Linked DNA regions of Rattus norvegicus. The protein of the gene in region 2 purifies or fractionates together with the protein of the main gene of each other region. This does not show direct contact. Links are inferred from orthologs where the notes say so. Each region holds a gene or a part of one and is shown on either strand. Other genes may lie near its edges. The genes, in order: Iqgap1 and Diaph1.

What was found.
Region 1: the proteins of Diaph1 (region 2) and Iqgap1 purify together in Homo sapiens (affinity purification with western blotting; 3 studies listed by BioGRID and IntAct, with this or other methods). This does not show direct contact. The link is inferred for Rattus norvegicus from reciprocal best matches to the Homo sapiens genes DIAPH1 and IQGAP1.

Annotation. Positions count from the first base shown.
Region 1 is NC_086019.1:144,176,104-144,180,478, forward strand, and holds the start of Iqgap1 (ras GTPase-activating-like protein IQGAP1), read right to left. Parts: upstream 2,851-4,375; 5' UTR 2,752-2,850; coding exon 2,697-2,751; intron 1-2,696. UniProt on the Homo sapiens protein: Plays a crucial role in regulating the dynamics and assembly of the actin cytoskeleton.
Region 2 is NC_086036.1:29,978,627-29,982,440, forward strand, and holds part of Diaph1 (protein diaphanous homolog 1), read right to left. Parts: intron 3,402-3,814; coding exon 3,291-3,401; intron 3,144-3,290; coding exon 3,025-3,143; intron 2,166-3,024; coding exon 2,049-2,165; exon of another isoform or gene 1,990-2,048; intron 1,068-1,989; coding exon 952-1,067; intron 241-951; coding exon 176-240; intron 1-175. UniProt on the Homo sapiens protein: Actin nucleation and elongation factor required for the assembly of F-actin structures, such as actin cables and stress fibers. Binds to the barbed end of the actin filament and slows down actin polymerization and depolymerization.

The DNA.
Region 1 (4,375 bases), on a different chromosome or scaffold from region 2:
TCTCCTCAGAAATAAATGAGAGCCACAGCCATAGATAGATATAGATATATGTATATATCTCTCTATATATATGATATACATATCATATATATATGGTAAGGGGCTGTAGAAACGTGTCAGCAGTTAAGAGCACTTGTTGACCAGGGTTTCTAGCACCTACATGGCCACTCACAAGCATCTGTAATTCTAGTTCAAGAGGAGCCAATGCCGTTTCTGACCTCCCAGGTCACCGGGTATATATGTTGTGCACATGTCTATGCATGCACTCATGCATATAAAATCATGTTTTATGCATCATATGGGAGTCAGGTCACTGGTAAGCTGCCCATGCTCCGATGGACAGTCAAGACATTCATGCACATAGGGGCAGCACTAGTTTGACTTAGTGGGTTTTTTTTGTTGTTGTTGTTTTTGTTTTTTTTGTTTTTTTTTTTACTTTAGAGAGCCTAGGGGGTGGAGAGATGGCTCAACAGTTAAGAGGACTGGCTGTTCTTACAGAGGATCTAGGTTCAATTCCCAGTACCCACAATGAGCTATAACTCCAGTTTCAGGGGACCCGACATTCTCTTCTGGCCTCTGCAGGCACCAGGTACACACATAGTGCACAGACATTATGCATGTTGGCAAATCACCCAAACACATAAATTATTTTTTAAGATGTATTTATTTATTTTATTCATATGAGTGCACTGTTGCTTTCTTCAGACTCACCAGAAAAGGGCATTGGACCCTATTACAGATGGTTGTGAGCCACCACGTGGTTGCTGGGGATTGAACTCAGGACCTCTGGAAGAGCAGTCAGTGCTCTTAACCACTGAGCCATCTCTCCAGCCCCCATAATTTTTTTTTTTTCTTAAAGAAAAAGATGCAGGTGTAATAGCACAAGCCTGTAATCCCAGCACTTGGAAGGCAGAGGCAGGCAGACTTCTGAGTCCAAGGCCAGACTTGTCTTAAACAGCAAGTTGAGGTCAGCTAGAATTATACAGTGAGATACAATCTCAGATAAATCATTGGAGGGGAGGGATAGGAGATAGATATAATCATTTTCATTTTTTATGTTAAAAATTCTCAAGGAACCAAATTTCTAAATGTTTTAAATATATGTACTACCTTTTCTTGTAGCTTCAAGAAGTATCAACTACGTCTGTCCTTGTGAGTCAGAATTAAGATAGAGGGCATCATGCCTTCCCATCTATTGACAATGGAAGCCTGCAACTCCCGGACTAAGCAATTTACACACTTTCTCCCACTCTAGCCCAGAACAATCCTGTGATTACCACTACTCGACAGAAGAGGAAACTGAGGTAGGATGAACTCAGCCCCAGGGCTAATAAAGGGCCCTTTCCGCCCACCTGTCTCCAAGTGTTGCAGCCATCAGCCTCCTCCACAGCCATCCCTAGGGTCGAGGGAATTCCTAACTCCTTGGGAAGACTATAAAGCTATTCTCATGCTAGCGTGGGCTGCTCCTTACCCTTCTCCTCCCCCTTTCCATCCCACCTCTGCCCTGCCACGACACTATGTGTTCCCACACACAGTAACCCTATATTCTCCAGTACCACATTTAGTTTGTCGTGTTCTTGCACACCCTGCCCCACACTGTATCCTTCAACCCTCTGTTCAGAAGTCAGCACCTGGGGGTTGGGGATTAAGCTCAGTGGTAGAGCGCTTGCCTAGCAAGCACAAGGCCCTGGGTTCGGTCCCCAGCTCCGGGAAAAAAAAAAAAAAGTCAGCACCTGTGTTCCCACGGCCTCAAGTCCCTTCTCTTCACCCCCATTACTCTTTATACCTAGTTAGTTCATGCGTCGTTTATCTTTATTGCACCCAATTTTTTTTCTTGGAGCTGAGGACTTGCACTTGCTAGGCAAGCACTCTACCACTGGGCTAAACTCCCAACCCCACTGATTTTATTATCAATCGTCTGTACACCTGTCTCTTTCTCTGACAGTTTCTGAAGGCACTGCTTGATCTTTTTCATCCCTTATTTCACAAACGTGGCACACATTATAACACTATCTAATGCATACCTGGATGTGTTAAAGTATCCTTTAAGAAAACACTTTCCTCAAAACATAAAATCTAAACCCGAGAATCAGAGGGATCCTCTTGTAACTTCAATCCCACGTACAGCTGGTTAATTCACCAATGTTGCAGGGATGGCTACAGAAAATGAGGAAGTGGAGCGGGGGCGATTTCGGTGTGCTTATGTTTTAATTTTACTTTTGAATTGCTGAAGAGAGAACCCAGCAGGAGAGTGTAAGCTGCCTGCCTAAAACTGCGCCTCGCAGCTAGCCTAAGGCTGAGCGGGTCTGCGCCCCGGATCACCCTCGCAGGCAGCAATCCGGGCAGCACCTTCCCACCACGCCCGAGCAGAACCCCTGGGTCCAGTGCCCAGGACACGCCCTGCACAGTCAGTCCTCCTGCCACCTCACCCTAGGCCGTCTTCCCCAATCTCAGTAGAACTAACCGGTGGAGGCTCTGGGTGGGGCTCCCCTGCCGCGGCGCCTAGCGAAGGCTGAGGCCTCCAGGTTTCTACCCGCCGCCTCCGGAGCTCGAGAGGGCTCAGACGCCAACCTTGCTACCAGCCATACAGCCGGCTGCTCTTCCGGGTCTGTGCGGTCCCAAGCCACCCCGCGCACCCGCTCCGCTGAGCCCCTGGGAAAACCTCGCCCTCGCACCCCCAAATACCCCGTACTCACAGCCATAGTGCGGCCGGACCACACCCAGGCCATCGACCTCCTCCGCGGCGGACATGGCGGCCGAGTCCCGGTCTCCGGTGAGGAAGAGCAGAGACCTTGAAGACGCGGGCGACCGTAGCAGCAGCAACTCCTGCCCAGTGCGCGGGCTGTCGCTGTCCTCAAGGCCCCGCCCCGCGCCATCAGCCCCACCCTGCAGGTCCCGCCCCGCAGACCCCGCCCTTGAGTCCACGCCCAGCTGCGCTCCCCAGAGCGAGCGGAAGGGGCGTGGTCACTTTTATAGGACCCGCCCCTGCTAGCTTAGCTCTCCACTTGCGGAAGCGAAGAGGCGGGGCGCTGTAGCAGTCCCCAGGCCCGCTTGGTCGGTTGTCCCGACACTTCCCCGCCTTCACCCTATCTACGGCTCAGACTGAAAAGCCGCCAATGTCTACAGCTTTGAAATCCAAACTTTTTTCGGCGCCTGCCTTTCCTTGACAGCTGAGTTAACCCGCTCTGTACCGCGGCTCTTTTTTTTTTTTTTTTTTTTTTTTTTTTTGGAGCTGGGGACCGAACCCAGGGCCTTGCACTTGCTAGGCAAGCGCTCTACCGCTGAGCTAAATCCCCAACCCCTGTACCGCGGCTCTTTAAAGGAGCCGTTTCAGGTGGCCCAGGGTGTTATTGGACGCAAGTGGGACCCACTGTCAGGAAAGACTCCCATCCCTACTCTGCCATATTATGTCAATCTGGCCTCTGTTCTCCCCAGCAGTGCTAAAGCGTAGAACTGCTCATTCTCTTAAATTGGGGGATGAAGATGCTCAATCAGAAGAGCTATTTATCGCCTCTTTACAATCTGTACTCTTCTTTGCAAGTTCTTACGGGGTATCTTGAACCTATTAAGGATTTCCTTTGCCCTTGTAATCTTTTTTTTTTTTTTTTCTTTTCTTTTTTTCGGAGCTGGGGACCGAACCCAGGGCCTTGTGCTTGCTAGGCAAGCGCTCTACCACTGAGCTAAATCCCCAATCCCTGCCCTTGTAATCCCCAGCCTAGATTACAGAGTGAGACACTGCCTCCAAAAAGTTAAAAAAAAAAACAATAAAAGTTAAAGTCCCGTTCTCAGGACTCTTACGCTCACCATATACAGTTGATGGCTTCTACTCACAATCCAGACAATCTAGAAGCCCCTCAGTAGGTTCAAACCATCTAATGTGCACTTTTGCATCTCCCACAGACACTAAAAACTGTCAAACGTTGGTCCTGTTCCTGCTTCACTCTCTATAAGTGTTCAATCACCAGTCACACACACCCCAGGTTTGCTTCACCTTTTTTTTTTTTTTTTAATTATATATAAGTACACTGTAGCTGTCTTCGGACACACCAGATGAGGGCATCAGATCCCATTACAGATGGTTGTGAGCCACCATGTGGTTGCTGGGAATTGAACTCAGGTCTTCTGGAAGAGCAGACAGTGCTCTTAACTGCTGAGCCATCTCTCCAGCCCCTTCACCTCTATTTCTGAAGCATCTAGTTTTGTTTCTGTCCCTGCCTGTAATTACACTATTTTGATTATCATAATCCTGTTCTCACTTCTGCCAACCAGATGATCATGATTACCAGCAAGTTGTTTAAAAGCACAGAGTTCTTTGTGTGTGTTGGAGGGTGGGGTGGGGGGGACAAGTTTCACTATGTAGTTCTGGCTGTCCTGG
Region 2 (3,814 bases):
ATCAAAAAAAAAAACAAAAAAACTTAATTATCTTCAAAGAAAAAAGATATATCCCAAATTTATTTGTGTGTGTGTGTGTGTGTGTGTTACATATACACATATTTGTGGATGATGCTAGAGAATGAACCCAAGTTTCACACATAAGGTAACTCTAGTCCTATGCCTTCATACACACCTTTTTTTCCAGCTCTGTAGCTTTGGCCTCAGATTTTTCCACCTTCGTTTTATCAATCATTTGATCTGAAAAGAAAAAGCAATTTGATCTGAAAACAATGCAGTAAGTCAAGTCTCAGTGCCGAAGTTGATGTCTCTGCTCCTAAGCCTCAAACACACTCAAGGGCACTCTTCTGTCACTTGGGTTGCTGACGCCACTCCTAATGGTTTGCACTAGCACTAGACCAAGAAATGTGAGTTTCAGTTAAGTACAATTTACAATTTCCTCTAAGTTTTATTTATATAGTTGTTTCATATTTTGTGTGTATTTAGTGTCTATGTATGTATATGTCACATGTGTGCAAGTCAGATGACAACTATCAAAAGTGGTTCTTCCTTGCCACCATACAGAATCTGGGGCACAAACTCAGGTCCTCAGGCCCACATGCAGGCACATCTACTTATTGCCACCATGCTGGCCCTTAGCCTAGTATTTCAAAGTGCAAGGTAAAGAAATCACACGAAGGATGCCTTTGTGTGACATTTGTGCTTCTAAGACCAGCAGAGTCAGAAAATACCTGAAGTCCCTGTAAAAAAAAAAAAAAAAAAAAAAAAAAAAGGCAAGATTTTCACTGTGCTGAAATAAACTTAGGATGAAACAATGCCAGCAAAGAGGGTGTACTGAGAAAGAACTGAAATAGAGACTAGAAGGATTTCTCTGAAAGTTTCACTGAACGATGAAAACAAAAGGTCCAAGTGCTGAGTGTTCTGAGGAGCTGGGTAGAAAAGCACGCTTACCAACCAACCCCTCAATATCAATCTGCAGGTGCCGGCACTTGAAGTCAGGATCAGTTCCATTTTTGTGTAGAACTATCTGAGAAACACATTCTTCAATCAATTTATAGTACTGCGGCCTATGAAAGAAACAAAACAAATTTATCAAACAGAAATAAAAAATGTATCTTCCAGAAGTATTCTGGATCAAGAAGAGTTAGTGGCTTTGACAATAAAAAGAATTATGGAAGGGGTTGGGGATTTAGCTCAGTGGTAGAGCGCTTGCCTAGCAAGCGCAAAGCCCTGGGTTCGGTCCTCAGCTCCGGAAAAAAGAAAAAAAGAATTATGGATAAACACTCCAGGAAGAGCTTTGATGAAGCTAACTGAAGCCTTACTGCTGTGTTAGCAAATTCTCCTCTCTAGATCAGCTTTCATTCTCTCCTTCAGATACCCAAAAGCTCTTACAGGTTGGGGGCTGCAGTTCAGTGGTAAAACATGTACTGAGCATGTGGAACATGCTGAGTTCAACCTCAAGCACATAAATGCTAACATGCATGTGCATACACACATGCACTCACTTAATTTCTTTTTCTTTGCGTGTATCTGTGTACATGTATAAAAGTGCCATGGAGGTCACAAGTGTCACACAGAATTACAGGAGGTTTGTGTGGCTAATGTGAGGGCTGGGAACTGGTGGGTCCTGTGCAAGAGCAGCATGCATGCTTAGTTAACCACTGAGCCGTCTCTCCATCCGCCAGTACACAGCTTCCCAACACCCAGGCTGGACTCCAGCCTTATGATCCTTGTCATGCAACGGCCGATCTCTACTTCCAAGAAAGCAGAAACAACTTTAAGTTTCCATCTCTTTGTTGTCATCCTCAGCCCACTTACCCACTTCCTCCTAAGGACATTTTACTTTATACACAATTACCTATCCAAAGAGGTACCTTTCAACTGAATTAAAGCAGTTGGTATGTTAATCAAGCTGTTGATAATTTCCTTTATATCTGTGACTAATGAATCTAATCTACAGTCTTTTTTCATTTCTTTTTACCTTTCTAGAACAATCTTTGAATTTAAGGATGCTGCTTTTCCACTTAGATGCAACATTATCAGCTTACCTAGCTTCATAATCATTTCGGACCAACAGGAGATGCTGCAAGATAGACAGGAAGTGTGGTTCTGCCTTGGAATCTTTCACTGTGTTTAAAATAATCTGGAAAACTTCACCAAAGTCAGTAGAAAAAAGGACAGGCTAAGGAAATCAAGTAATTAGAAGATGTTTGACAGGTTTCTTGTCAACCAACAGAGGGTATCAAGATACCACTTCTACTACAACAGCTGTTCCTAAAACATCACTAGTTCATTCAACCAAGAGTGGCATTGTCCACAAACACAGGATCCTAGTATACATACTGAAGAAACTAAAAATAGAACCACATCAAAGTCACTTGTGGCAGGTAGGCAACTGTGTAATAGTATTATTGCTTGTCAGTCCAGAGGGCTCTGCATACCACCCCACAGCTCAGGAAGATATCGTGCTGTAGGAGGTGTACAGAGATTTGGATGGACACTTTGGGACGTGAGAGCAATATGGCTAAACATGTTACGTTAGCACTTGAGTGACAGGCTGATGGATGCCTTGATGTTAAAGAAATCACCTTTCCTAGCTTTCCTGGTCTATGCTGAAGTAAATAAAGCCAACAGCAATATGTAGACATAGCTTTATGTATTATATATATATATATATATATATATATATATATATATACACACATATATATATACACACATATATATATATATATATATATATATTTTTTTTTTTTTTTTTTTTTTTTTTTTTTTTTTTTTTTTTTGAGACAGACTCTCACTGTGTAGGCTTAGCTGGCCTGGCCTGGAGTTCACTATGCAGACCAGGCTGGCTTCAAACTCAAAAGAGATCCTAAGTGCTAGGAGACGAATTCAAGTCATGTGCCACCATTCCCAGTCTTAGGCCTTATTCTAAGTGATCACTCTCCAGACTATTCCATACATTCAGTCTGTAAGTAAATGTATCATCTGTCCTGAACTCAGTCATCAGTCATAAAAGGATATTCCATCTCCATGCGGATATCATCCAGTCGTCCCTTCAGATCGAAGAAATCTTCATCCCCTTGTTCATCAAACACATTGAGCTGTACTCGCATATCATCATTGTCAATCTCTCGAAGCTCCTGCCAATGACAGCAAGTAGTGAGAGAACCCAAATCCAAGCCTTTCAACCTGGTGTTTAAGTTGAAAACCAGAATCATCTCAGAGATGACCAGGGCTGGAAGAGCAGGAGGGAAGTGCAGCCTTCCTAAGGAAAGGTTCCATCTTACCTGCAACACTTGATGCAGTCCCAAGCGCATCAGCTCACTTCGGATGTGAACCCGGAAGTCAAGTTCCTCAGCGGGAGTGATGAGAGCATTGATCAGCTGTAGGCATCCCACCTGAAACAAGCAAATTCAGCTGCTACGTCAGCCGTCAACCTTATGGATAAGGAGTCCCCTATTTATATACACTCTGGAGCTCCATAAAAGATACAGAATAAAAACTACAGAGAGGAAGTTCATACTAGAGCAACAAAACCTCGCTGAACACAACTCTGGAGAATTTAGGCTTTTAAATGAATCCAAGGACATAACATGTTACTACAGAACCTCCATTTTCCTAAGGTACTAATAAGTAGCTGGTTTATCCCACCAACATCACAAGGAGAAAGGTAGTTCTCTGTTTTTTAGAGAAAAAAATCATTTTCCTTTAGGAAAAACACCTAAAATATAAAAAGTATAGCTGAGAACATTACATATTTTAATAAAGACTTAAAATTTGTATTATTTTCAACTTTATGTGCATTAGTGTG